4 linked regions of the Caenorhabditis elegans genome follow. The protein of the gene in region 2 interacts with the protein of the main gene of each other region in a pairwise test. Each region holds a gene or a part of one and is shown on either strand. Other genes may lie near its edges.

The links.
Region 1: the proteins of tdpt-1 (region 2) and grif-1 interact in a two-hybrid assay, tested with the Caenorhabditis elegans proteins (one large-scale study listed by BioGRID).
Region 3: the proteins of tdpt-1 (region 2) and Y77E11A.7 interact in a two-hybrid assay, tested with the Caenorhabditis elegans proteins (one large-scale study listed by BioGRID).
Region 4: the proteins of tdpt-1 (region 2) and lys-2 interact in a two-hybrid assay, tested with the Caenorhabditis elegans proteins (one large-scale study listed by BioGRID).

Annotation. Positions count from the first base shown.
Region 1 is NC_003279.8:1,974,833-1,984,623, forward strand, and holds grif-1 (RING-type domain-containing protein), read left to right. Parts: upstream 1-3,197; 5' UTR 3,198-3,219; coding exon 3,220-3,298; intron 3,299-3,687; coding exon 3,688-3,836; intron 3,837-4,626; coding exon 4,627-4,766; intron 4,767-6,533; coding exon 6,534-6,984; intron 6,985-8,348; coding exon 8,349-8,447; 3' UTR 8,448-8,580; downstream 8,581-9,791.
Region 2 is NC_003279.8:14,096,286-14,104,359, reverse strand, and holds tdpt-1 (5'-tyrosyl-DNA phosphodiesterase), read left to right. Parts: upstream 1-3,269; 5' UTR 3,270-3,276; coding exon 3,277-3,328; intron 3,329-3,391; coding exon 3,392-3,466; intron 3,467-3,515; coding exon 3,516-3,736; intron 3,737-4,408; coding exon 4,409-4,503; intron 4,504-4,636; coding exon 4,637-4,868; intron 4,869-6,058; coding exon 6,059-6,342; intron 6,343-6,527; coding exon 6,528-6,657; 3' UTR 6,658-6,868; downstream 6,869-8,074. Other genes in the region: Protein tfg-1, read right to left, coding at 151-1,284, 1,935-2,080, 2,133-2,313; fbxb-100 (F-box associated domain-containing protein), read left to right, coding at 8,019-8,074.
Region 3 is NC_003282.8:1,415,411-1,422,166, reverse strand, and holds the start of Y77E11A.7 (Dynein heavy chain 1, axonemal), read left to right. Parts: upstream 1-2,321; coding exon 2,322-2,446; intron 2,447-2,594; coding exon 2,595-2,743; intron 2,744-3,487; coding exon 3,488-3,708; intron 3,709-4,082; coding exon 4,083-4,463; intron 4,464-6,257; coding exon 6,258-6,497; intron 6,498-6,756. Other genes in the region: jtr-1 (Protein JTB), read right to left, coding at 519-739, 852-995, 1,041-1,179.
Region 4 is NC_003283.11:10,278,690-10,284,307, reverse strand, and holds lys-2 (Lysozyme-like protein 2), read left to right. Parts: upstream 1-2,833; 5' UTR 2,834-2,863; coding exon 2,864-3,289; intron 3,290-3,526; coding exon 3,527-3,940; 3' UTR 3,941-4,001; downstream 4,002-5,618. Other genes in the region: lys-3 (Lysozyme-like protein 3), read left to right, coding at 864-1,212, 1,271-1,476, 1,743-2,093; lys-1 (Lysozyme-like protein 1), read right to left, coding at 5,310-5,618.

The sequences.
Region 1 (9,791 bases), about 12 Mb from region 2:
AGCCTAAGCCTAAGCCTTAGCATAAGCCTAAGCGTAAGCCTTAGCCTAAGCGCTAAGCCTAAGACTAAGACTAGCACCTAAATTAAGCCTAAGCCTAAGCACTTAACCTAAGCCTTAGCCTAAGCCAAGCCTAAGCCTAAACTTGAGCCTAAGCCTAAGACTAAGCCTAGCACCTAGCCTAAGATTAAGCCTAATCCTAAGCCTATCACTTAACATAAGCCTAAGCCTAAACTTGAGCCTATGCTTAAGCCGAAGTTTGAGATTAACCTTAAGCCTAAGCCTAACTCTTAAAAAGTTACAAGAAGGTTTTTCCTTGCGCTTGGAGCGCAAAAGAAAAGAAAAAGAGCTATTTAGACTTAGGGTGCCCAACTGGAATAAAACATTGGAAATCCCAATCCAACCAGCCTAAGGGCCCGAAAAACATACTAGGATGCCCAACTGGAATAAAATATTGGAAATCCTTATGACACACCGGCGGTATGGCGCGGCTTAAGCCTAAATAGCCACTTTTTATCAAAATACATTTGAGCGAGGCGGTTGTAAACTATTCGTTCTTTAGCAAAAATAAAAAAAAAACTTTATTTAAATTTAAAAATAAATATCATATGTTATCACACCTTAGAATATCACGCCTTAATTTAGTAATCATTTTTAGTTCATAAGTGTGAGAGAAAGAAAAATGGATTAATCATCGGAATTAGATATCATCAGAGTGATTATATTCATCAAAGGTCCCACTTTACTGGAGATTTAATTTGGTTGATATAAAATTCCTATCTCATGTAAAGAAAGGTTCGAATTCTGTACCTATGAATACTGCCGATATTTGAATTCCTGTCTCATGGGAAGAAGGCCTTTCTTGTGGGAAGAACGGAGTTATAAAAAAATATACGCAGGTACAGAATTTGAACTTTTCCTCCCATGAGATAGGAATTTGAATATTGGCATTCTATAACTTCACTAAGAAAAAAAATCTCCAAAGGTTGATCGCAAATATGTAGAGATTGCTCGCATCCCTTCAAATATTACAAAATTTCCAAGTTTCTCAGTAATCTATAGTTTTCATTTAGATTACTGAAAAATATACACAGATTACTTTTGAGTCTGAGAAGTTATTGTAAAACGCAAAGCGAGCTCAAATGTATTTTGATAAAAGTGGCTATTTAGGCTTAAGCCGCGCCATACCGCCGGTGTGTCATAAGGATTTCCAATATTTTATTCCAGTTGGGCATCCTAGTTTTTTTTCCGGGCCCTTAGGCTTAAGTGTGTCATAAGGATTTCCTATATTTTATTCCAGTTGGGCATCCCAAGTCTAAATAGCTCTTTTTCTTTTCTTTTGCGCTCCAAGCGCAAGGAAAAACCTTCTTGTAACTTTTTAAGAGGGTTTCATATATTTTATTAAAATCGGGGCGAAGCCCTGATTTTAAATCCATATTGTTTTTTTTTGTCTTCCTCTATCCCTGCAAATAGGAAAGATAATGTGTTCTTTCTGATGAAGTAAAAATCATCATAAAATCTTGAAAACTGAGAGCAGGAGGTAATATTTGAATATATTGGGTCGTAAATGTGTGTCTCTCTGTGGGTGGGGTGGCGATGTGTTGGCAGCCCTTCAACGAACTGTATCTCCCGCCTGTATCTCCCTTCAAAGAGAGAATTGGGTTACAAAAATTTGAGGGGATATGAAAAAAGGTGTGAGAATTTCAAAAATATTATTGTTGAAACACCAGACCAAACCACTTTTTCTGGGCAAGAGGCAAAAAATTAATTTTTTGAAAAAATTTCAAACTGGCACAAAATTTTTTCAAAAATAAATTTTTCACAAATTGTTAGTAGATTTCATTTTTCATAAATATTGTTCATTGAACACAAAAAAGAAAACAAAGATTCATCAAAAAATGAGTGAAAAATCGCAAAAATTCGAAAAAATCAGTGCTGAAAAACTCGATTTTTTGGCGGTGCTGAAAAAAATTTTCACTAAAATTTTTTTGAAACTTAGTTTTTCGGATTTAGCGTCAAATTTTGAATCTATATAAAAAAACAAAATTGAAATTGATCTCAGATTGAGTGAATAATAAACGCTCAAAGTTGAAAAATGAACAACGCAAAAACGGCAGTAACTTGCTTCAAGGTCGGTTATCTCAGTGAGTTTTCACTCAATTTTCGAAATTTGTTTGCTCTATCGCTTTAGAAATATTTGTAATTTCATTTGTTTTCCTCAAAATCAAAATATCTCAAACGACCGCCATCCTACGAGAAGGGAAAAAAAAAGTTTTTGGAAAAAAAATCAAAAATTTTTTTTCTGCCTCGATTTTCAAAATGAAAAAATCACTTTTTCGGAATAATTTTTACTTTAAAATGTACCTACGATCTTTTTATACAACAATTTCACCTTGGAACCAAAGATTTTTGGAGGATACTCGAAAATACTCTTCATATCTCGGCTCAAAGAGCTCCAATCTTTCTGAAATAAAGCATACAGAGGTGGGGCAAGCTTCTTGAAGAGAGAGCAAAAAACCGCATCAAAATCCATCCACCCACCGTCAAGTTACACGCGCGTTTTCAGAGTGAACGAAAAACAGGGCATAAAAAAATTTAGACGCCCGCACCCGGACTCGAACTTTTTTCAGATTTACAAGCTTAATATCTCGGCTCCTGTAAATCGAAATTGGCTCAAAATTCTCAAGAAACCTTATCCTGCGTCCTTCCTGCTGTCATTAAATTTTCGTGAGCTTAGGGAGAAAACTGACAAAACGCCAAACTTTCAAATTTAAAAAAATAGTTGAGGGTCATTTTGTAAACACCTTAAGCTCCATAACTCGGCGAGTTTTGATGGAATCAATTTGAAATTTTACACGGAAGCTTCTTAGTGGCTTATACGTCTCTGTGTTAAATTTCGCTTTGATCGGCCAACGGGAACCCTTTGAAAAATGAAAAAAACGCTGTAATCCTAACCCTAAATGGCGAGCTAACGCTCGCCACTGACGCCAAGCCTAGGCCTAATCTCAATTTTAACTGTAAAAATAACAAAATTCCCTATTTTTCTGTCAAAATCGAATTTATCTAGGCTCGCAAATTTTTGATCTACCATCTCAGATGTTGATCTACTATCTACTTTTCGGCGCCAAATTTCCAATTTTGGGTGCAGAGACTCTGTTTCTTTGAGTTTTCCGTTCGATTTCCGCTCATTCCGTCTCCTATTCCTGTTCTCTGTGGACAAAAATGTACAGTTTCAAAAGCAGCACCGACGTGAAGACTTATATCAGCACCCCGTCGTGCCGGATATGTCTTGAGCCATTTGGTTAGTGAGTTTTTGTTGGCTTAACGGCTTTTTTCGTCAGTGTTTGGCTATTTTCTTGCAAATTTTTAGGTGTTTTATCGATTTTCACATTTTTAAATACTTAAAAAGCTTGATATTTGAGCGAAAAATCAAGAAAATTAAATTGCGAAATTTTTTAAATTTTTTAAATACCAACGACACTCCGATCTTACACCCGTGCGCGTTGTTTAGCGTAAATTTACAAAGCGAATTTTCAGTTGGTTTTCTCGAATTTTAATTGAAAATCTTGAAAATTAGTGAATTTTTCAGCGTTTTTATGGATTTTTCCCTTAGAATACAGGTTTCTTAACCGAAAACACAATTTTCCTCCAATTTTTTCATAAACATCTTTGAAAAAATCAATATTCCAGACGAAGGACAACATCTTCCGAAAATCCTGCAATGTGCCCACACGGTCTGCGAGAGATGCATCGGTTTGCTCGACGAGCAGAGCCGAATCAACCACAATCGGCCGCCGATCGACCGCTCGTTTGTGCACATTAGATGTCCAGTTTGCAGGGTATGTGTTATCAATTAATTAAAGGTGGACTCCGCTCAGTGCGGAAATTGCTTTAAAACACGCCTATGGGGTCACAATGACCGAATATCTTGATTTAAAAAATTCAAAAAAATTTTCTAGATTTTATATGATCTTTTGAAAATTGAAAAAATCTCAGTTTTTGCCTAATTCCTATTTGAATTTCCGCCAATTGGATTTTTTCGGTGGGGCGCACTTGCACGTTTAAAAATTTTTTTTTTTATTTATTCTTATTTTTCACCGATTTTTAATGTTTTCGGTGTATTTTTGCTTGAATTTTAGAGAAAAAGCCAAAATAAATGCAGATTTTCGATTAAAAAACACGATTACAGGCGTAAAAATGAGAAAGTAACGCTTTTAAACGATTTCGAACCTGAATTAATTAATTTCACTGATTTACGCCTGTCAGTGTGCTTTTTAATCGAAAATTTGCATTTATTTTGACTTTTTCTCTAAAATTCGAGCAAAAATACACCGAAAACATTAAAAATCGGTGGAAAATAAGAATAAATAAAATAATTAAATTTTAAAACGTGCAAGTGCCCCAACGAACAAATCCAATTGGCGGAAATTCAAATAGGAATTATGCAAAAACTGAGATTTTTTCAATTTTCAAAAAATCATATAAAATCAGGAAAATTTATTTGAATTTTTTAATCATGATATTCGGTCATTATGACCCCATAGACGTGTTTTAAAGCAATTTCTCCACTGGCGCTACTCCACCTTGAAGATTAAAATAAAATTTTTAATGAATTTTGCTGAATTTCAGGCAGTCACCCAGACTCCACGCAACTACATTCGATCCAACTACCAGCTAATCGAATTGATGGATTCGATGCGTGGAGAAGCCGATCATAATATTTCATTCCTCGCGTGTGTCGGCTGTAATGGCGTTTATCACGAGAAAGAGTGCGTTGGAAACTCACGGCCTCACGGCTCACGCGGCACCTCACGAACTCCAGAATTTGCGGGAATTTGTTTAGCGCGGGACAGCAGTTTTTTGTTATTTTTGGCTTCTACGGAAATTATTTTTGATTTTTTGATCTATAATATTCTTGAGAAGCATCCTTCGAATTGAAAATGTGAAAAATTATGAAATTTGAGCGAAAACTGAAGGTTTTACAGTAAGGAGTTCTATACTTTTCTTTAAAAATGCATCAATACCGCCAGTTTTTTGATTTCAGAGTCGTAAAGTATGCCATTTTGTAGAGAAAAGTCTGTTTCACAAAAATCCATGTTTGAAAATTGAAAATTGTTTTTATTAAAACCTGAAAAATCAAAAAAAAAAAAAAGATTTTAATGTAAAATTGTTGATTTTTTGAATATTTTTATATTATAAATTGAATAATCAGAATTTCAAACATGGATTTTTGTGAAACAGACTTTTCTCTACAAAATGACATACTTTACTTACTTACTTAGGATACTTAGTCGATCCGTTCTTCGCCTGCGGCGCGGATCACAGCTTTCCAAGCTTTTCGGTCCTTTGCTTGGGTGGACCATAGTTGTTTGACTTGCCCGAAGGCGTCTCGCGTAGTGACTTCTTTTCTTAAAGAGTCATTCCATCTCATCGGTGGGCGTCCAACGGGTCGTTTCTCGTCTCGGGGGCACCAATCGTTCATCAGAGTTGTCCATCGGCCATCCGTTCGTCTCGCCACGTGTCCAGCCCATCCAAGTTTCCTCTTTTTTATGTGTATTAGTGGATCTCTGAGTTTTGACTTTTCTCGAACTTCTTCGCGATGAATGTTTCGTTCGCGTTGTTCTGTCAAGGTGAGTCCAACTAACTTTCGTTCGAGGGCTGCATGGGTTACTCTGACTCTTTCCACTAGCTCTTTTGTGAAAGTCCAAGCTTCAGAGCCGTAGGTCAGGGCTGGGAGAACCGTAGAGTCGAAGAGATTTGCACGGAGGCGTGGGCAGGTGATCTGGTCCGTGGTGCTTTTGATGTTGGTAAAAGCTGCCCACGCAGCTCTTCGTCTTCTGTGAAGCTCAAGCTTTTTTGATTTTTTGATCTATAATATTCTTGAGAAGCATCCTCCGAATTGAAAATGTGTAAAATTATGAAATTTGAGCGAAAACTGAAGGTTTTACAGTAAGGAGTTCTACACTTTTCTTTAAAAATGTATCAGTACCGTCAGTTTTTCGATTTCAGAGTCGTATGTCATTTTGTAGAGAAAAGTCTGTTTCACAAAAATCCATGTTTGAAATTTTGAAATTGTTTTTATTAAAACCTGGAAAATCGAAAAAAAGAAAAAAGATTTTAATGTAAAATTGTTGATTTTTTGAATATTTTTATATTATAAATTGAATAATCAGAATTTCAAACATGGATTTTTGTGAAACAGACTTTTCTCTACAAAATGACATACTTTACGACTCTGAAATCAAAAAACTGGCGGTATTGATGCATTTTTAAAGAAAAGTGTAGAACTCCTTTCTGTAAAACCTCCAGTTTTCGGTCAAATTTCATAATTTTATACATTTTCAATTCGGATAATGCTTCTCAAGAATATTATAAATCAAAAAATCAAAAAAAATTTTCATAGAAGCCAAAAATAGCAAAAAAACTGCTGTCCCCGCGCGAAACGAATTCCCGCAAATTCTGGAGTTCGTGAGGTGCCGCGCGCGAGCCGTGAAACTGTGAAAATTCAGATTTTAATTAATTTCCCCAATTTTCAGCACCAATATTTGCACTACATGCTCCCCAATCATCAAGGATGCTCATCCCACTGAACTCATCGAGCAAGGAGTAATTCTGAATCAGTACGCGTTGTGTTCGACGTGTCTCCTCAGAGATCACATCAAAAAGAACCACGTGTCGATCAGTCTGCAGCCTCTTCGCGTCGAAATGCAACGCCAGGAGAATCAGCGGCGGATAGTCGGCTTGCAGGACAATTTGCACAAAGTGCAACGCGATTTTCGTGAGCAGCTTAACGCGACTATGGAGCGATGGGCCGGATGGAATGGGAGCCACGATTTGTCGATGGATAAATTCCGTGAGCTTGGTGATACGTACAATCAGAAGAAGGTTTATGATGCGTTCGTGCATCAGCTGAGAGGCAAGACCGCTAAGATTGAGAAGCTCGCCGAGCACGTTTTGCGATGGAATGATGAGCTGGACAGGGAGATGGTGCGTTGAAGATCGGGGCCGCTTTTTCAATTTTTTTGAAAATACAAAAACTAAACTTTTTATTCCGAAAATTTAAATTCTGAAATTTCGAAAACCTTTAAAGGTGGTGTAGTCGAATTTTTTTATTATTTTTTTAAAATTTTATTAGACTCAAAATTGTCTGAAAACACCGAATTTTATAATGAAACTTCTTGAAAACTCCAACTTCTCAAAAAAAAACTTCTGACGGCTCGAAAAATGTCCTAAAATTAGTTAAAATTTGAAATTTGACCGACTTGCAAAAATTTTTAATCAATTTTAATATGTAAAGCCTAAGTGATTTTTTGCCAGAAAAAAAAATCTGGAATTTACAGTTTTTGAAATAAAAATTTTCAACAAAAACTAATAATTTGTCGGAGAAACATTTGAATATCAGTTTTTTTTTGTCAACTCTAATTTTTATAATTAGTTTTAAAATTTAAAATTGAGAAAATTATTCGCATTTTTTGCTCAAATTTTGTATTTTTAAAATAGTTTTTTTTCTTTCAAATTCTACTCCAAATATACTCAACATTTTGGTAATTTTTTAAGAAATTTTATGGAATTTTTCGAAATAAAAACAATTATTAAAAATTTCAACTAAAATCTAATTTTCAGTACGAATTTTAGAAAAAAAATTGAAACTTATAAAAAAAATTTTCTAAAAACTAAAAATTTCGCCTTTTGGTTTTTTTTTCAAAAATATTTGGAAAAATTAACAAAGTTTTATTAAAAGTGGTGTAGTCGAATTTACTAAATTACTTAATTAGATTCGAAATTGTCTGAAAACACTGAATTTTATAATGAAACTTCTTGAAAACTTCTCAAAAAAAAGTTATGACGGCTCAAAAAATGGCCTAAAATTAGTTAAAATTTGAAATTTGACCGACTTGTCAAGCGGTTGGAAACTAACTTTTTTTTTGAAATTACCGTCAAATTTTGAGTATAAAATATAATTATCTTGCATTTTCAACTAGATTTAGGTATTTTAAAGTCGATGGACGGCGAGATTTTTATATTTTTAAACCAAAAACGGCGAGATTCGAGTTGAAAACGCAAGATAATTAAATTGTATACTCAAAATTTGACGGTGACTTCAAAAAAAAAAAATAGTTTCCAGCCGCTTGACAAGTCGGTCAAATTTCAAATTTTAACTAATTTTAGGCCATTTTTTGAGCCGTCATAACTTTTTTTTGAGAAGTTTTCAAAAAGTTTCATTATGAAATTCGGTAGTTTTCAGACAATTTTGAGTCTAATGAAGCAATCCGAAATATTCTTTAAATCATTCTTTTTGGGATATTAAGAAAACTTCATCCTTTTCCCCTAATAAAATAAAAATTTTCCAGGAAAGACCACCAGCTCATCGTTTGCCACGTAGCTCAACTCCAGCGCCAGCACCACCATTCGACAACTCCGTCGCCTACTATTTTGAGCACCAATTTTGAGCTTTTATATTTTTTTTTCTCATCCCACCACCACATTAAAACAGAGTTTTTATATATACAGTACCCATTATTCGAACACAATTTGTTCTAAAAGAGCCCCCAAGAATCAGATTTAATAAAGAATGCTCTCACCAATTACATTTTATTGCAAAGAAAAGTATGAACATTTACAGGAAATGCGAAAGAAAATGCGGAAGTGAAATTGAGATCGTCTAAGACTCATAAAAATAAAGTCGACGAAAAAGGCCTTGTAGGCAGGTAGATAGGCATTTTCGTGCCTACGAAGAAGGGGGAGGATCAGAAAATCTATGTTTAACTTTTCAAATACTATTGAAAAGTGCCATAAGTGCCATAATTATTAAAAATCCAAATTTTTGAAAATACTCCAGAAAATTTTGAACATGGTGCAACGTGACCAAAATAACAAAGTGTGCAATAAATATGGCCCGTTTTTGCCACTTTTTAATAGTTTTTGATGGGTTAAACCTAGATTTTCTGAATTCAGCATATATGAATTACCCGTTTTCAACAAATTTAGCCGATGTTTTATTTTTGCCCAAATCGTTTTTTCAGCCATCTAATGACTGTCCTTTTTTTGGGCAAAAAAAGATTATTCTGAAATTGAACGAAACTATTAAATTCTAATAAAGGACATTTTTTTTAGGGTTCGGAGATAAATTTAGAGTCCTCTAGCTACAAAATTAACCATTTTAGAGGAGTTTCAAGATTGTAATTTTTACCAAAAATTGCCCAATTTTTGCCACTTTTTTATAGTTTTTGATGGATTAAACTTAGATTTTCTGAATTCAGCATATATGAATTAACCGTTTTCAACAAATTTCGGCAGTTTTTATTTTTGCCCAATTTTTCAGCCATCGTTTGAAATTACTGGAAATTGAAAAAGAGCAATTTTTAGAGTTTGGAGATCAATTTAGAGTCCTCTAGCTACAAAATAATCATTTTAGAAGAGTCCGTTGTAAAAAAAAGTCTAATTTTTTTTAATTCAGAAAAATTAAAACATTTTAATTTGTTAGGGCATGGGTTAATTAGTACACCAATAATTAGCAATATTATCCGATTTACAAGGGTTGTAGAAATTTGGGCTATTTTCGTGTGTAATTTTGGGCCCATGATCCGAGGGTACATCGAAATAGGGTACATCGAGCCATTTTTTTGTTCTTGGGGTACATTCGAGCAAAGGGTACAATCATTCTCAGGGTACATCCACCGGTTTGTTCAGAGGGTACATTCATGGGATTTTCATAGGGTACATCGGCACTATGTTCCAAGGGTACATCCAATTTTCAAGGGGTACAACGGATTTTTATAACTGAAATTTCTTAG
Region 2 (8,074 bases):
CGCTCCAGCGCTATATCACAAGGAAACAGGGGCGAGCGAGTAGAAAAGGAAACTTGTACACTAGGGGGGAAGGACGGGGGAAAACATAAAATATTTAAATTATGGGAATCAAACAAACAAAGAAGAAAACATCAATAAATTATCGATTAATTACTGCTGATACGGCGACTGGCGGTATCCCGTGGCAGATGGTCCTCGTGCGAATGGATTTCCTCCCGGGGCTCCGGCGGCTCCCGGTGGCGGTGCTCCGACTGGTGGGAATCCGGTTGGCGGTGGTCCGTAGGCTCCTGGGCCTCCTGGAGGTGGTGGTCCGAATCCTCCTGGGCCTCCTTGTGGTGGTCCGTACGATCCTGGGGCTCCTGGGCCTCCTGGCGGTGGTGGACCGTAGCCTCCTGGGCCTCCCGGCCCCTGTGGTGCTCCGAAGGCGGATGGTGGTGGAGCAAAAGCGCCCGGTGGTCCCGATTGTGGTGGAGGGGCAAAGTTTCCTGGAGCACTTGATACTGGCGGCGGTGGCCCTCCGAACGATTGTGGTGATGGAGCATGGAATTGCTGGGGTGGTGGAGCTCCGAAGGATCCTTGTGGTGGTCCTCCCTGTGGTGGCCCTTGTGGCGGTGCTCCAAATCCTTGCTGGGGAGCTCCCTGCGGTGGTGGGGCTCCGAATTGCTGCTGCTGCTGCTGTGGTGGAGCATATCCTCCATACTCTGATGGTGGTCCAGACGGTGGTGGCCCGCCAAACTGCTGCGGTGGAGCAAATCCTTGCTGCTGCACTGGAGTCGACGAGATCGAAGAGTGCGACGCCATCGGTGGTGGTGGAGCCTGGAATTGTTGCTGCTGCTGCTGTGGAGGCGGTGGAGCAAACTCCTGAACTGGTGGGCTCGCCGCATTCGACGTTGGGAACGACGGGATCGTCGCGTTCGGTGGCGGAATCGCTCCGAATTGCTCAATTGGTGGCGGTGGCTGGGAGCTGAAGCTAGTGTTCAGATCATCGGGAATTTGCTGATGTGGTGGTGGAGCATAGTGATTCTCCAACGGAATCTCCTCCTCAACGTGCGCCGGGCGATGATTGAATTGCTCGTGAACCGACGGTTGGATCGTCGCCGGGAGCTCGGCCTTCTCGGAAGGCACTGGCGATGGTGGAGCCGCTTCGAAGCTCTTTTGGAACACAATATTGTCGTGGTGAGATTGTTTTGGAGCCGAGAGATTCGCCACCGATGTGTTCGATTGTTCGGCGATCTGGGCAACGTCGAGAGCACTGAGAGCGCCAAGAAGCTTTCCAACATCAAGCTGAAAGAAAAATTGAATTAAAATTCGTTTTTCGCTAGCTGTAGTACTAGAAATTCCAATTTTTAGCCATTTTGTGTTAAAAATATTGAAAAAAAAAACCGATTATTTGGATAATTTTGTTTAAAAATCAATGAAAACGCTGAAATTTCTCCAATTTTTCAGTGAAAAACCAAAGATTTTGTGAATTTTAAAAACAAAATTGGTTGAGGCTCACACTATAAACAAAAAAAAGCTGCATAGCCTCACTCAAGCTTTAGCTAATTTGGTTGAGGCTAAAGCTACAAACTACAAAATCACCATAGCCTCACTCAAGCTTTAGCTAATTTGGTTGAGGCTAAAGCTACAAACTACAAAATCACCATAGCCTCACTCAAGCTTTAGCTAATTTGGTTGAGGCTAAAGCTACAAACTACAAAATCACCATAGCCTCACTCAAGCTTTGGCTAGTTTGGTTGAGGCTCACACTACAAACTACACTTGTTTCTTAGCCTCAACCAACATTTTTCAGTGTTTTTCCGGATTTTTTTTTGTCTAAAAAGCTCAAAAATGCAGCATTTTCGATGAAAATTCTGCAACATTTTGCATTTTCCCGCTCAAAATTGCGCTTTTCAGCTCAAAAATCGTTTTTTTTCGCTCAAAATCCTCCTTACCTTAATCTGCTCGACTTGCTTCTGCACATCGTGCACAGCCTCACGAGCTCTCGAGTCGACAACGACGGTCACGTCGAGCGTGGCTCCAGACGTGTGAAGAGCCAGCAGGAGGTCGCTATCCTCGGCGAGTGTCACCAAATCGCCTTCTAAAATTGACAAAAATTGAATTAAAATCGCAATTTTCAGTGCAATTCCTACCTTCATCCTTGTACTTCAACACGAAATTCGCGTCGGATGGGAGAGCCAAAAGCCGCTGCACATTGAGCACGAGATCGATGAGTGTCAAGTCGTTGGCGTGGTGAAGTGACGTCTTGCGGACGACGTCGGCGTGACGAGCCTTCAGAATTGTGCTCGTGATGGCTCCGTTTGAATGCACCATCTGGAAAAAACGGGGGTTTTTTAAAGGGAAAATTGGGTTTTGCGGGAGAAAAAGAAAGAAAAAAGCAAAAAAAAACCGGCGAAAATCAACTAGAAATCAAGAATTAAACACAGAATCCGAATTTTGGTGAGGCTCAGGCTACAAACTACGAAATTGGCTCAGCCTCACCCAAGTTTATCCGGAGCTCATATTTTTACGAAAATTTTGGATTTTCATGTGTTTTGACAGGAAAATTCGACTTTTTAGTTGAAATTCGACCTAAACGAGATCAAAGTTTCAAAATTAGAGCGGGAGTAGGCCAAAAATATGGTTTCATCGATTTTTAGGCGATTTTCCTATCGAAAATCTAAATTTTCGGCTCTAAAACCCACTTGAAACGCTATTTTCTAAGATTTTAAAGCAAGAAACCGGCAGAAATCAAGAAATAAAATAGTTCCACGTGTAATATAATAAAGCAATTCCATCGGAATCTCTAGATTTTCGCGGGTTTTCGGTATAAAAATCGGGATATGGCACATAAAATAAGTAAAGATCACGAAAATAGATCAAAATCTTCAAGATAATATTGAAAAAATTGCGAAACTAGGTCTAAAAAAATTCCACACGGATTTTCATCGTTTTTTGCCGGTTTTCTGGGGTTTTTTTATGGTGAAAATATCGATTTTAACCTCTAATACTCACTTTTCTTGCTATTTTTATGGATTTTCTGCAAGAAAACCAAGGAAAAATGGGAAAATAACGGGAAGAAAAACGATCCAAATCCGCGATATAAAATTCCACGTTCGGTAAAAGTGCGCCGCAGTTGCAACACGCGTGCCAGGATTGCAAATAGGGTACGCCCCCCGGCTAGACTCCGCCTTTTCAGTTATTCTTTTCGCGATTTTTTGAATTTCAATAGTTATCGTGTGGATTTTTCGCGTTTTCTGAAAAAATATGATAAAATCCTCTAATTTCAGCTCAAAAATGTCGAATTCTGACGATGAAATACAGGAAATTGAGGCTAAACGACAGAAAAGTAAGGCTTTGCAGCTGGAAATTCAAAATATTTGAATTTTAAATCAAATAAAATATATTTCAGTGTCCCAAGAAGATTCCGAGGTCGAAATCGAGATTCTAGATGAGCCGGAGCAAGGAAAACTGAAAAATTCGTCGAGTAAACCCGAAAAATCAATAAATTAAGGCGAAAATCCGCGATTTTTCAGTGAGCGACGAGCAAAAACTGCATGAATTTGCAATAATCACGGCCACAGATGAGGCTTTTGCGCAGTCGATTTTACAGGATGTAGACTGGGATTTGAAGAAGGCTCTGGACGTTTTTTACGGGAGTGAGGCGTTCGCAGAGGCCAGAAGTGCGGCCGTAATGGGCGCTTCATCGTCTATGGCGAGCTCTGGAGCTGCGGTGATGACGGCAGAGGATTTGAAGGTTAATAGAAGAATATTTGGAGCAAAATCAAGCCAAACCACCTAAAAACATCGATTTTCGAGTTAAAAAACCTCAAAAATGCTGCAATTTCCGTAAAATTTCAGTGATTTTTCACAGAAATCATTGAAAATTTGAAAAAAATCACTTTTTCAACCGGAATTCCGAAAAAAAAAATTGGTTGAGGCTCAGGCTACAAACTACAAAATCGGCCGAGCCTCACCAAAAATTTCCAAAGCGAAATCTGGCGAAAATACTTGAAATTTTCCTCATTTTTTATCAAAAAAACTAAAATTTCCATAAATTTTCATAGATTTCCTTCAAAAATCAGTAGAAAAACTAAAAAAAAATCACGCTTTCAACCGGAATTCCGAAAAAAAATTGGTTGAGGCTAAGACTACAAACTACAAAATCGGTATAGCCTCACCAAACATTTCCGAAGCATAATACTCGAAATTTCCCTCATTTTTCTTCAAAAAAGCTCAAATTTCCATAAAATTTCATGAATTTCCTTCGAAAATCTTTAGAAAAACTGAAAAAAATCACGCTTTTAACCTGAATTCCGAAAAAAAAATTGGTTGAGGCTAAGACTACAAACTACAAACTCGGCTTAGCCTCACCAAAAAAAAATTCACTTTTTTCGCGATTTTTCCAACAAATTTCAAATTTTTTCAGGGATTCGAAGTCAGCGTAATGTCGTGGAACATTGATGGGCTCGACGGGAGAAGCTTGCTCACAAGAATGAAAGCAGTGGCTCATATTGTCAAAAAGTGAGCAAAATCGGCGATTTTTCACGGAATTTTCAAATTTTTAGTTGATTTTGATGCAAAATCAGCAAAAAAATCACTAAAAACCGTCAAAAATCTTCAAAAATCAACCTGAAACGCCAAAAAAAAATTTCAGCGTCAATCCGGACATCCTATTCCTCCAAGAAGTCGTCGACCGTGATTTGGCGCCGATTGATAAGCTTCAATCGCTGTATAAAATCTATTATTCGAACAAAGGCTGCCAATATTATACGGCGATTCTTGTGTCGAAAATGTTCGACGTCGAGAAGCATGACGTCATTCATTTTCAGAATTCTGGAATGTACAGAACTTTGCAGATTTTGGAGGGATCTATTGGCGGTTTGAAGGTTAATTTTTCAGAAAATAGACGAAATTTTAAGAAAAAATCCCGGAAAACCGCTAAAAATGAGTGAAAATGATGGTTGAGGCTACCCAAATTTGTAATTTGTAGCCTGAGCCTCAATCAATTTTTATCGCAATAATCGAATTTTTCAGTTTTTTACTGAAAAAAAAGATTTTTTGAAAAATTCTCGCATTTTAATCCATTTTTTCAAAACAAAATATAAAAATTCCCGTAAAAATCAATCAATTTCCGCAAAAAATACCTTAAAATCGAGCAAAATGTATATTGGTTGAGGCTAACCACATTTGTAGTTTGTAGTGTAGGCCTCAACCAATTTTTCCCCTCAAATGTTTTCCCTCTTGTTTTTCTTGCAAAAAACTTCAAATTTTTACAGAAAATGGGATTTTCCACTGAAAAAATCTAGATTTTCAGGTTTTAAAATCAATTTTCGGTCAAATTTTACGGAAAATCCCTATGTCTTCCTGAAAATCTCTTTTTTGTTGTAAGATTTTCGAGATATAATTGATTTTTTTCAATCAGAATTCTGCAATTTCTAGCTGAAAATCACAGTATGTAGTGTGAGTTCGAAAAAAATTCGTTGAAACTTTGGTGAGGCTAACCAAATGTGTAGTTTGTAGCCTGAGCTTCAATCAATTTTATTTGTAATTTTTTTGAATTTTTCAATGATTTTTGTCGGAAATACATGAAATGTTATGGAAATTTGAGCTTTTTTGAGAAAAAATGTGGGAAATTTCGAGTATTTTCACCAGATTTCGCTCCGGAAATGTTTGGTGAGGCTAAGCCGATTTTGTAGTTTGTAGCCTGAGCCTCAACCAATTTTTTTTTCGGAATTCTGGTTAAAACCCTGATTCTTTCAGTTTTTCTTCTGATTTTTGAGGGAAATCCCTAGAATTTTGAAAATTTGGAGCTTTTTTTGAAGAAAAATGAGGGAAATTTCGAGTATTTTCATCAGATTTCGCTTCGGAAATGTTTGGTGAGGCTAAGCCGAGTTTGTAGTTTGTAACCTGAGCCACAACCACTTTCCCGAAAAAAAACTGAAGAATTTCCTCGTTTTAATTGATTTTTTTGAAAGAAAACTGAACATTTCTATTAAAATCATTCGCTTTTCGGCAAATTTAACAAATTTTTGTAGTTTGTAGCCTGAGCCTCAACCAATTTTCTCGTTTTTTGCAGGTATTCCTACTTAACACCCATCTCGAATCAACACGTGAGCACCGCCCGCAACGTTGTGCTCAATTCGGCTTCTGCATGGACAAAGTCCGTGAAATCATCGCTCAAAACCCGGGCGCCCTCGTCTTTTTCGGCGGCGATTTGAACTTACGAGACGAGGAGGTCAGCCGTGTGCCTGACGGTGTTAAGGATGCCTGGGAGGCTGCCGGCAGTGATAATAAGACAAAATTCACGTGGGACACCTTCAAAAATGACAATAAACAGGGATTCCATGGCGCTAAGATGAGGTAAAAGCGAAGAGACAAATAAAAAAGAAATAAAAAATATTTTGCCACACCGGGGGCTCGAACCCCGGTCGTGTGATTGGTAGACGGCGAAAAGCGCACTGAGCCATTCGATCATTTTTTAAAAAATAAACAAAAATCGATTTTTTTCAATTTTTTAAAAAATCTAAAAAGCTTCAAATTTTCAGATTCGACCGCCTATACTGGTCTGGACCACTGGACAAAGTCAAATTCACACTTGAAGGCCGCCAACGCATCCGTTCCTGTTTGTGCTTCCCATCTGATCATTGGGCTATCAATGCCACGTTTTTTGCCTGAAATAAGCCTTAAATAAGCCTTAAATCATCATTTTTTACCCATTTTCACTTGTTTTTCGACCGGTTTTCACTATTTTTACCCAGGAATTACCTCCCAGTTGTCACCGGGTTTTAATCTTTTTTTTTCATCTAAGCTCCCTTTTTTTTGAAAACTCGTTGTTTTTATTGATCTTCGATTTTCGATACTGATTGTAAATAAATCCACTTTTTTTTTTCTTTTAAAACTATAGAAAATCGCTCATTTTTTGGAAAAAAAAATTGGCGCCTAAAAAAATTAGAAAATTGAAATTTTGGGATAAAAAAATATTTTATTTTTTAAATTTCGAGCTTTAAAATAACAAATTTCATCTCAAAACCACTACAAATAGAAAATAAAAATTTTTGCCACATTGCGGACTCGAACCCCGGTCTTGTGATTGGTAGCCGGCGAAAATCCCACTGCGCCATTCGGACACTTTTTTTTTCGAAAAGCTTAAAACTCGATTTTTCTGATTTATAAGCCTCTAGATGATTGTTATTATCTTAAACTATAGGAAAAATCGTTTTTAGAAGAAAATAACTAGAAAATTGATAATTTCGACTCAAAACCCAACTTTCAAAAACTTTTTGTTCTAAATTTCTAGGTTTTGAGGTTTTAAATTGCTAAAAATCACATCAAATTGGCAAAAAATTGAAAATATTCGCCACGCCGCGGACTCGAACCCCGGTCTCTTGATTGGTAGCCGGCGGAAATCCCACTGCGCCATTCGGACAATTTTTTTAAAATTGCTCAGAAAATTTTGTTATGTTAGGCCTCTAGGGGTGTTGTTTAGCCACAGAAAAAATAAATATATCGGTTTGGAAATTTTTAGAAGCAAAAAAAACTAGAAAATTGATAAATTCGACTTTTTAAAAACTTTTCCTTCTAAATTTCTAGATTTTTCCGTTTTAAATTGCTCAAAATTACCTAAAACTCACAAAACATGCAAAATAAAAAATAGTTGTCACAGCGCGGACTCGAACCCCGGTCTCGTGATTGGTAGCCGGCGGAAATCCCACTGCGCCATTCGGGCATTTTTTTGGAAAATGTTTAGAAAAAAAAAATTCTATTTTTTTTTTAAATTTTAGTTTCTTCAGATGATTTCGTGTCTTTTTAAAACTAATTTGGCCTGAAAAAAAATTTTAAATTTAGAGTTTTCCGGAGGTAAGGCTGCCAAAGGACTGGGGGGTCGATGCACCATAATTTTTTTTTCTTTAGAGAATCGATATTTCCCCCCCACCTGTCCGTCTTATTAGAGACTACGCAGAGAAGACAAGAACACTCCCTGACAACCAAATTGGCCTGCAAAGGGGTCACCATATCTCCAATATTTCCTCCCGCCAATGCCTGCTCTACCTTTTCCAATATTATCACTTCCTCCGAAATCCCGCCGAATAGC
Region 3 (6,756 bases), on a different chromosome or scaffold from region 2:
ATTTCAATTTATGAGGGAAGCCAGAAACCCGTGTTACACATTTTCCTGGAGTTTTGCTGACTTTCAAGAAAGTCGAGAAGTTTTCAGCCTATTCTAGAAAGTTGTAGAAGTTTCCAGGTTTTTCTAGGAAATTCTAGAAGTTTCTGGATCAATACTTCTTCAAAAGACAAAAACTCAATTTTCCCGAAAATCCTACAGTACCCCCTACCGTATTACTACAGTATCCCGACCATATCTCTCCACTAACCCTAAACAAATATCTCTTAAAAAGACAAAAACCCAATTTTTTCTAAACTACAGTAATACTACAGTACATTACCCCGAACGTGAAAGAAGCATTCAAGAAAATCGATGAATTTTTTTTTTTCGTAAAAAATTTTTTTTCAATAAATTCGCACCGTTTATTACACATTTCCCATGTTTTTTTCACATAAAAACCCGTTTAAAATCGCAACAAAAATCAATCAATCAATATATATATATATATATATATATCTACAAAAAAAATCGATAAAAATTTAGAAATGTTGAGGTAGTCGCATGTAGACCGCCCGTTCGAGTTGAGCCTTCCGCTGTGTCGTCGACAAGAAGCTCACGATGAGAATTGCGGCATTTACCACGTAGAACAGGTAAAACTCGTGGCGGCGGGATTGTTTTGGAGATGGACACGGGCGGAGCACAGTTGTCGACGATTTGGAGCAGTTTACACGATCGAAATAGCCGGTTTTTAGGCAATGACCTGGAAAAATAGGATAAATTTTTGATTTTCTGGTGAAAAAGTCGTTTTTTGCGGGTTTTTAAGGTAAAAATTGCGATTTTTCTGAATTTTTCCTAATTCTTTATCTCCCTACCAGCTTTAATAGCCTTAATCTCGAAATCCTTGCACGGTGCACACTGGGTGACCACTTCAAATGGCTCATGCTTCCAACATTCTTCCGCTGGATATTCCGTCACCACTTTTTCCAGTTTTCCGGTGGTTCCGCCGTGTTCCGTCTCTGAAAATTCAACTTTTTTTCCAAGTTTTTAGGTGGAAATCTTACTATAAAACGCTTTTTTCATCTCCATTTCGCTGTTCATCTCACTTTCCTCCGTGTACTCTTCGATGAAGAATACGAGAATCGAAAAACCGATTAGGGCGAGGACAAACGTGGAAATTTGCTTTGTACTGCAGTATTCCATCGTTTTTCTGCAAAAAAAAATGAGGGAAAATGAGTTATTTTGGCTTGAAATTGAGAAAGAAATTAATTAATTTCGTACTGTAATTTTTAAAGGTGCATAGAGGCAAATTCTGTGTTGGGTCTCGCAACGAAATACATTTATTTGCTGATTTTTGACAAAGTTTGAAACTTAACTGAAACTTGCGAGTTACGTTTGCCAAAAAATATGACAATGGGTTTCATTATTAGTATATAAACTTTTAATGAATTTCCGTACGAAAAATTGTTAATAAATGGCTTCAAAACCGTAAAAACTATTTTACTGTAAGTTTAAAGGTACATGAAGATTAACTTTTCAGCAGGTCTTGAAACGAAATACAAAAAACTCATTAAAATTTATTTTTCAACATTTTTTCTTGGTTTTTTTTTTCGGATAAAAAATTAATTTAAACCAATAATAAATATTTATAATTTGCAGAATTATAAAATTCTCCGTTACAATCTAACGTAAAAAAATTCATTTTTTGCTGGAAATTAACCAATAACTAGGAAAAAATCACAAAAATCCTCCTCAAAAACCGGAAATCCCCTTTAAAAAAAATCCACGACGCTCCGTAAATCGACACAGCCCTATCCACACAAACGCGCTCCAATCCCACCTTGCACACTCGAGACGCGGTTGCGCGTCGCGTGCGCGCGCGCTTCACTGCGTCTCCTCACTCACCGTGAACATCTGTGGCTGAGAAAACACAATTGATTCGGCCCCGTCCGTCGTCCCATTCCCGTCGAATTTTTGTATTCTTCGGCCACATTTTTTCTCACGGCCCCCGCGGCTCTTTTTATTTGAATTTTGTCGGAAATGCGTAGTTTTCTCAGGAAAATCAAGCGAAAATTGATTTTGAATCGAAAAAACCGAAAAATTCGATCGAAATTTGAATGTTTTCGAAAACAAATTCAAAATTTCAATTAAGCACCGTAAACTTTAAAGGCGCATGCTGTTTTTGCCACAACGGGTCTCGCCACGAAGGTGAAATTCACTGCTGTCCCTTTAAAGCGTACTGTAATTTATTTTTCGAAATTTTTTCTCAAATTTTGGGCAAATTTAGTCTTTTTTCTTTATTTTTCAGCGAAAAAACCATATTTTCAAACGATTTTTTTTCAGAAATGGAGACGAGAAAAGTTCGTACACCGTCCGCAAAGCTGCTCGCCGCCAAACAAGATGAAGTCTTCGAAAAAGTTATTCCTACAGCTCAACTCACACCGAAATCTACAATTTCTGCACAAATGGCGTGAGTAGACGAGAAAAATCCAAAAATATAAAAGAAAAATCAAAATTTTCAGCACTTTAGACCTATAAATAGTGAAAAAACCTTTAAAAATCTCGGGTTTCTATTCCAATTCTCCTAAAAATCTCTAAATTTGCTCGTTTTTTTTCAGAAAAGTCCCAGAATCCACGACACCAGAGCCACTTTCAGTCGACCAGGAGCGAGATATGACCCCAGGCGAGCACGAGCTCCAAGTTCACCAGAAACACCACCAAAGCCCGATTTTAGAGGAGGAAATCGATGTTTCCAACACTGAAATCGGTAAAAATTGGATTTTCTACATGAAAATGCGATTTTTACGCGGAAAAATTGGCGAAAATCCTCAATGATCAGGCAAAATTGGCGATTTTTAGGGGGAAAATACCAAAATTTACGATTTTGCTTTAAAAAAATCAGTTTTTAATCAAAAAATGTGTTTTTTCATTGGAAAAGTGCTGAAAAGTCGATTGTCGACTCTAAATTTGCAATTTCCCATTAAAACGTTCATTTTTTACCTAAAAAATGTAATTTTTTCACTTCAAAATTCTAAAATTTAACCTAAATGCTCGCGTTTTCAAGGAGAAACTGCCTAGAACTCAGGTTTTTACTTTAAAATTCAGTTTTCGGCTGAAAATCAGAAGCTACTACCGGAAAATGTTACAGTTTTCTATGAAATTTGTCTTAAAACTCGATTTTCATTTAAGAAACCAATTTTTCGCCAAAAAATTCTTTAAACCCCGGATTTTTACCTGAAAATGTTAATTTTCAAGCTAAAATCTCTTAAAAAATCAGATTTTCACTCAAAAAATCCCGAAAATTTTAATTTTCAAGCTAAAAACTCTAAAAATTCGAATTTCACTTCGAAAAAACCCAAAAAATCCAATTTTCAACCTAAAAATTCCCCAAAAAATTAAAATTTCATTTAGAAAATTCCCAAAAAATGTCATTTTTGAAGCTAAAACTTCCCGAAAAAGGCCAAATTTTAATTGAAAAACCCCTAAAATCTCAAAAATTCTCAATTTCCAGACGCGTCAGTGCTCGACGATCACATGGACACTCAAACAATGGAAATTGAAATGGAAATGGCTTTGAAACGCGAGAAAATCGACGCTCAAATGGTCTTAAACAGTGATTTTTCGGTTGCAAATGAGGTTACAATATCATCAATGAAATATCAAGGGCGTCCGACTCCGACTAGAAAGGTACCGTATCAAAATGAAGACGAACACCTCGTCACCACAATGCAGGTGATTTATCGCGGAAAATGGCATTTTTTCACCGAAAAAAACCCTGAAAAATGAGGATTTTTACTTGAAAAATCCTGTGAAAATGAGCAAAAACCACACCTAAAACGAGAATCCACTAAAAATGGCAAAGTAAAGTTTCAAATGCTCTGAAAACGATCAAAAATCGACCAGAAATAGCCGAAATTTCACAGAAAATTCACTGTAAAAAGCTGCTTAAAAAGAGCCAAAATAATGCCCTAAAATTCCGAAAACTCACTTTCAAATACCTGCGAAAAGCCTTCAGAAAGCGTCTAAAATCACAGAAAAAAAACCCCAATTTTTGCACAGAAATCCTCTAAAAAACCAGCAAAAACCGTCTCAAAAAAGTTTTGCAGCGTGTCGCCGCAGCCACCTCATTCACCGGAGAAACTCTCAATCTCAAATCTTCGGATCTCTCAATTCCCAACAAAGCTGCCCATTTCCTTTATTTCCGTTGCTACGAAGAACATGAAGTTCAGAAAGAATTCCCGTTGACAATCGATGAAACACGTAAAGGGCCTCAGAATTTCCTTGTTGAACCCCGTCACGGACTAAAAAATACCGATTATTATATTGATAGTTATTTGTGGAATCGTGGCAAATCGACGAGCTCGAAGAAGAAAATTTTTGTGGAAATAGAGGGAAATCATGTGAAAACGTCGAGAAGAACTGCCGAAACTGCACATTATGTGTTGAATTGGTATTATTCGAATATGGAGAATAGAATTTGCAAAAAGGTGCGGTGGAAATGCAGTTTTTAACCGAAAAATTTGAAAATTTCACACAAAAATTGACCTAAAATCGGGGTTTTTACCTAAAAAATAGCATTTTTCAGGCTAATGGCAAAAAAATGGATTTTTAACCGAAAAAAAAAAGGAAATTTCATTACAAAAATTACCTAAAGTCATATTTTTTACCGAAAAAAATGACATTTTTCATACTGAAATTACAAAAAAGGATTTTTCACCCAAAAATGGTTTTTTTTTTCATTCTAAAATTTCAAAAAGAATGAAGAAAAAAAATATACCGAAAATTGAATTTTTCACCCAAAAATGACATTTTTTTACTTCTAAATAAACAATAATCGGGATTTTTATGTGAAGAAATAGTTTTTGACCGGAAAAATTGAATTTTTCATCAAAAAATGACCTAAATCGAATTTTTACCCGAAAAATTACATTTTTCATGCTTTTAGAGTCGATATTCTTTGATTTTCATCACCGAATTCGATTTTGCCGCAAATTTTCACTTCTAAAATCGGTTTTCTGTGCTTCTAGCTCATGTTTCAGAATTTCCGGGTTACGGTAGCCCCGAAAGTACGCAAACACCGACTACAGTAACCCAAAACACCAGATTTCACGCAATTTTGAGCTACAGCTCTGAAAATTTACGTTGTAGTGGAAAAAAAATGCGGGGATTCCGAAAAATAACCGAAAAATTTGAAAATTTCACACCAAAATTGACCTAAAATCGGGGGTTTTTACTTAAAAAATAGCATTTTTCAGGCTAAAATGACAAAAAAAAGGATTTTTAACCGAAAAAATTGGAAATTTCATTACAAAAATTACCTAAAGTCATATTTTTAACCGAAAAAAATGACATGTTTCATTAAAAAAATATACCGAAAATTGATTGAATTTTTTGCCCAAAAATAGCATTTGTCATGCAAATATTATTCAAAATTCGGATTTTTTAGCCAAAAATTGATATTTTCGGAAAATGTGAAGTTTTCTTATGAAAATGACTCAAAATCGAATTTTTCACCCAAAAAACCACCTTTTTTTTGCCAAAATAGTTTACAAAACTGGATTTTAAGCCAAAAGCTCGGATTTTTACAAAAAAAATTAGAGATTTCTGCTGAAAATCGCTAGTTGTAAAATAATGCGGGAAATCCGAATTTCTTAATGAAAAATTTGCAATTTCAGCAGAATATCTAGAAATTCAATTTTTCAGTGTTCAAATTCGATATTCTTTGATTTTCATCACCGAATTCGATTTTCCTGCAAATTTTCACCTCTAACACTTTTTCTGCGGGATTCTAGTTCATTTTTCAGAACTTCCGAGTTACTGTAGCCCCAGAAGTACGCAAACACCGACTACCGTAACCCAGAAACACCCAATCTTACGCAATTTTGAGCTAGAGCTCTGAATATTCACTGCTAGAAGTAAAAAATAGCTGGAAATCCGAATTTCGTAGTGAAATCGCCGAGAAATGTGTTAAAACACGAGTTTTCCGCTGTTTTATTCGAAATTCTTGATTTTCATCACCGAATTCGATTTTCCTATCTATTTTTAGCTCTGAAATCGGTTGTCTGTGGTTCTAGCTCATTTTTCAAAATTTCCGGGTTACAGTAGCCCCAAAAGTACGCAATCACCGACTACAGTAACCCAATACACCGAATCTTACGCAATTTTGAGCTAGAACTCTGAAAATTTACAAGAAAGTGTAAAAAAATGCGGGGAATCCGAATTTCGTAGTGAAAAATCTCGAAAATTCCGAAATTTTGAAGAAATCTTAACAAATATCACAGCTTCAGGTGTGTTGGTTGGAGAGTCTTGTGGATAATAGTCGAGCATCACCTGTATTGGTACAGTATCACGTGAATTACCTATCGGATAACCCAATTGAGCTCCGAAAGACGCCCAAACTGTACAGTGACACACGTTCAGTGGCTCAGGAATTGCTGAGAAGTGATTCACCACTGCAAACTGTACAGAGATTTGTGGAAACGGGAGAAACCGATCCACGGGAGATTATCAATAAGAAACAGGTAAAAATTTGCGAAAAAATGTGAAAATCCGATAATTTCCATGTAAAAAATTGAAAAATTCACGAAAATCCGAAAATTTATGGAGTCAATTTTAAGTCAATTTTTTTTTGAGTCAATTTTTAACGATTTTTAGTCAATTTTTAACGATTTTTAGTCAATTTTTAACGATTTTTAGTCAATTTTTAACGATTTTTAGTCAATTTTTGACGTTTTTTAGTCAATTTTTGACGTTTTTTAGTCAATTTTTGACGATTTTTAG
Region 4 (5,618 bases), on a different chromosome or scaffold from region 2:
AAACGAAAAAAGAAAACAAAAACCAAGGGTGGCCGTATCATTTTGTGGATTTTTTATATGGTTTTTCATCAAAAAATGGTTTATCTTTTTTTACGAACGGTTCAGGTATATTTCCAATACTTATCTGAAAGTTAGCCAGTACAGCGAACATTTTCACAAGAAACTATGTTTTGCTATCTCAACCCAGTTTTGAGTTATACCAAAATTTGGCGGTGACCGTATCATTATGTGGAGCACTGTAGCTCATAACTATTGATTCTCTAATTCTCCTCAGTCAGGACGCCCCCTCACTACAGCCAAAACGCTTTTCTATTAGTTAAGCCTTTTGGGAAATGAACTATGCTCAATCACCATTCACAGACAAACTTGGATTTGAAGTAAGTACAAACATATTCAGCCATTTGTACATCTTCGAAAGAAACCCAATCCTCTCGGCTGAACGTTTTTGCTACTGTTGGGATTCTATCACTGAAACCGTTGTTGGAGAATCTTCTGTTTGAACTGACAACCAAATCCGAGAGGAGAGGTAATAAAAACTAAGTAAGTAACTTCGTCAATAAAATGCAGGGAATTTTTTTGGATCCTAAGAAAACTACAAAGCAACTATTTAAAATACTTACCCAAACTTCGAAAAAATCCTAATTTTTTAATAGAGTATTGTTTCATCTATTTTCATTCACAAGCTCCTTTTTCGATTTCACGTTCTGTATTTTTTGAGTGACTCAACCCCATTGTTATCAATGCTTGTTTTCTGAGTCTGCCCACATTCAACTAAAAATACAACTTTATTACTTGATTACTCAACCAGCGACATCAAAACGAGTATAAATGCTTTCTTGAGTTCAATATTATCATTTCGGAAAATGAAACTTTTCGCTCTTCTAGTCTCTATTACATTGTGCTACTCTTTCCCAGCTCCTCTTCAAACGAATGTATCAGAACCATTTGGATTGCTGCAGAAAGTTTCTGAACAAGTGATTGACCCAGATTATAATATTCCTGAAGTGAAAGATGCTCCAGCAATTCCATATGATGAACGAAACTCCCCAACTCATGCATATTCAGTTGACATTTCATTTCACACAACTCCGAGTGACATGGATTGTTTGAGAGATCAAGGTTATAAATCTGTATTTGTCAGAGCTTTGAATCCAATTGGAAATACTTATTTTGATCGAAATGCCTTGAATACAATCAACAATGCATTTGAAGGTAAGATTGACTAAATAAACAAAATAATCCTATTATTATCATTTTGTTTTTTTTTCAGCTGGACTTGGAAGTGAAGTTTACATCACTCCAAACATCAACTCAACAAGGTCTGGAGCAGACCAAATTAGTCTGGTCTACCAGAATTTGCTTGCTAATGGAATTAATGTTAGATCTATCTGGATTCAAGTAACTTCTCCAACAAATTGGGTTGCACCAATGGCTGTGAGAATTGAGTTTATCCAAGATATGATTAGAAGTGCGAAGGTATGTTACCAAACATTAGCGAGACAAACTGAAGCTCCTGATGCATGGAAAACAACAGTAAAACAATTTCCGCGAAATTCGCCTCTGAACGTGGGGCACGCCTGAGACGTTTATAGGACGATTATATTTAAGTTGATCACATACACGAATATTGTTTGCTGAAGCGGAATGTACATTTTCTGACTCACACTGTTTAGAAGTTTTAATTTTCGAAGCATGGATCATGATCACAAAGAACAACTTCTTATTCACTTTATTACTTTCAGAATCTGGGCTTGTCAGTTGGAATCTACACTTCATTTTATGATTGGTTGGAAATCACAGGAGGCTGGAACACGTTTAGTTCTGATGTTTTCTTGTGGTACTGGCATGTTCTGAGTATGGGTACTGATGGTGAAACTACTCCAACTCTTGAAGATTTCCGTCCATTTGGACCATGGAGACAGGCCACTGTGAAACAATTTGGACAAGTTGAAAAACTTTGTGGAATGATTGTAAACCGAAATGTGTATTCCACCGGAAACCAACACTTGTCTCAAATTGTACACTTCTCAACTCATCAAGAAAATTCGAGTTCGGAGAAGAAATTGATTCGTGTTGGTGGAATCGGATTTTGAGAATCCAAGGAATGAGAATTGTCGACTAAATCTTTGATACCAGAAAGCATAATACAAAATAAATATTTCCGATGTGATTGTCGATAACCTTTTTAACGATAAAATTATCAACACACAAAAATACACTTGTTATTAATAATGGTGTCGCCGAAATTTTTATTGCTTTATTAGACTCGAAATTGTCTGAAAACACCGAATTTCATAATGCAACTTTATATTGAAAACAAAAATTACCTACAAATAGTTAACATTTGAAATTTGTCCAACTTATCCATGTTGCAGCGGCTGGAAACTAATTTTTTGAAATCACTTTCAAATTTTCTGAATACAACATTTGAGGTGGGATCACTAGATTTCGTATAATTTGGGGATCCATTGAAATTTATTTACAATTTCTCATTTTTAAACCCGAATTTCAAAAAGCATCTCTCTGTTGTTCTCTTTGTTCTAAAACTTCGAGAAATATCCTCACTGACGATGTTGTGTAAAGGAACATGTAGAAAGTTTCTTTCTCTATCTTTGGCCTCTTTTTCATCACATCACTTTAATTGACAACAGAGAGTCTGCACTGGTATTCTTGCCTTCTTATCAATTATCATTCATTAATTCAGAAAATGAAGCCAAACCACTGTTGACATTTTCAACTGACTAAGAAACCCATCTTATTTCAGAGAGATTCGTCATTTTGTGCACTGAAAAGAGCTCATCGTCTTGTATATAAACTGATAGGAAAACCACAATTTTTATCTTCACTGAAATAGATCAGTAAAATGATCAAGCTTCTAGTTTCTTTTACTATCCTATTTGTTCTCTCTTCTGCGAGACCACAAGAAATCGACTCGAACCAAGCTGCGATTGCAAATACCGAAGCAAATGAAGCTCCAGTAATTGTTAACAATGACGCTTCAATGGGAAATGCTGTCGATTTTTCCTTTCCAACAAATGTCCAAGTAATGAATTGTTTGAAGAAAGCAAAATATCAAGTTGTATTCCTCCGTGGATTTGTTCCAACTGGAAATGGAGCTTTTGATTCAAATTGTGTTGGAAATATCAGAAATGCTTATTCAGCTGGATTGGGAATTGAGACATACATGACTCCTCAGCCAATATCAAGCTGGCAAGGATACCAACAACTTGATCTTCTTTATAACGGACTCAACAATAATGGAATCACTATCCGATCAGTCTGGATTCAGGTTAGTAGTTCAGACACAGTTTAAATTTAGAATTTCCCTCAAGTTCATTTTGAGGCTGGTACTACTATAGTTTCAGTTTCATAGAGAGTTGCTCCTCTATTTATGAATTTTCTCAAAAGTATTTTATCATTACTTCCTCTCAATTCACAAGCATTCACGAGTTTGTGTATTTCTTATCTTTCAGAAAATCGAACATAATATTTAAATAATTATTTCCCTAAACTACAAATTTTCCAGGTTACTTCCCCTGCCAACTGGCCAAACAATCCAACTGCCAACGTCAACTTTATCAACAGCATAATTTCCCGTGCTCAACAATATGGTCTCTCTGTTGGAATTTACACAAACCAATATGACTGGAGCCAGATTACTGGAAATTCGGCGAATATCAATTCTAATGTCATGCTCTGGTATTGGAATGTTCTTGGAGGTGGTACTTCTGGAGAGACAAAGCCAACTTTTGCTGATTTCCGTGCTTTCGGCCCATTCAAGAAGGCTTCAGTGAAGCAGTATGCTCAAGTTGAAACAGTTTGTAATTTGGTTGTGAATCGTGACGTGTATGCTGTTGGAATTCCAGCTGCTGCTCCAAAGACTGAAGTCAATATGGCAGATGGTGAAAAGATTGTTGTCGGAGGATTTGTCGGAAACTAATTTATTAAACTTATTATCGGTTTTATGATCTCTTCCCAAATAAAATTGTTATCATCTGTTATCATTTTGCCGGCAGAAGAATTTTCTTGAAGGAGAGAAAAAGTCTAAAAGTCACGAAAGTTAAACACATTGATATTAATGCGTAAAAAGCGATTAAATGCATATTATCGTTAGGTGTCAATGCAACTTAAAAAGTGCAAAAACATCTTCGTATGTTAATTTTCAGATTTAATTATTTTGAACAAATGATTTCTTTTTTTCAAATTACGTTGAGTTCAACAAGCCTTCCACGCGGGTAATATTGAATATATTCTATCCTATACCCTCTCAGATAAACTGGAGTCACGGCTGACTAGGGAACCGTCAGAAGCTGCCCATCGGACTTGCATATGAGACCAATGCCATTCGATAGTGCATGTCTTAAAACGGTTGCTCGTGAATTTTTAGCGGCAAAACTCCAGAACCAAGCTCACGGCGGGCTCTCAAAGATCTTAAAATAGCACTGTAAGGAAGAACTTTAACGATCTAACGAAGCAATTTTCGAATTTCACTTTGGTAGCTCATATCTCCGTAGATAAATTTTTTACAGAAAAGTCATCAACTAAAAAGTTGTTGATATTGTTGTAAAGAACAAGTTTGTAGTTGAAAGTTTTTTACCAAAAAATTTTTGTTTGCGAGAAAATCATTAGAAACGGAATAGCAGCATAAAAATAACAACACCAGTTGCCGCACTTCACGCACTTTTATCTCAAACAAAAATTTTGTGGTAAAAAACTTTTAATTACAAACTTGTTTGTTACAACAAAATCAACAACTTATCAGTTGATGACTTTTCTGTAAAAAATTTATCTACGGAGATATGAGCTACCAAAGTGAAATTGGAAAATTGCTTCGTTAGATCGTTAAAGTTCTTCCTTACAGTGCTATTTTAAGATCTTTGAGAGCCCGCCGTGAGCTTGGTTCGGGAGTTTTGCCGCTAAAAATTCACGAGTAACTGTTTTAAGACATGGGCTATCGAATGGCATAGGTCTCATATGCAAGTCCGATGGGCACCTTCTGACCGTTCCCTAGTGAGGGACAGGAAATCACTGCCAATTAGCATTTATGCCACGGCTATTTTAACTTTTTAAATGTTTACTTTTCAAAATTATATTTATAGAAACGATTTCCACAAAAATCTTCAGAAATAAAGTGAAATCGTCATGCGAAAAGACACAATTAAAATTTTACTGATCATTCATTTTAATTTCTGGTATATATCTGGTATGTTATATGGTATATTTCAGTATTTTTTAAAATAAAATTTTAATAAAGCTAGGATTGTTTATTGAAATAATACAAATAGGTAAGAGATCACAACATAAATATTTTAGACTCCAATGACTCCTCCAACAACAATCTTTTTGTTGTTGCTGCTGATGTCCTCTTGAGTGAAAAAATCAGTGTTTTTCGATGAAGCAGCAGCTGGGATTCCAACAACGTAAACATCACGATTGACGGTCAAAGAGCAGACAGACTCAACTTGAGCAAATTGCTTAACAGAAGCCTTCTTGAAAGATCCGAATGCACGGAAGTCATCGAAAGTAGCTGGAGTCTCTCCAGTAACACCACCTCCAAGAACATGCCAATACCAGAGAAGAACATCAGAGCTCAAAGTTGCCCAGTTTCCAGTAATTTG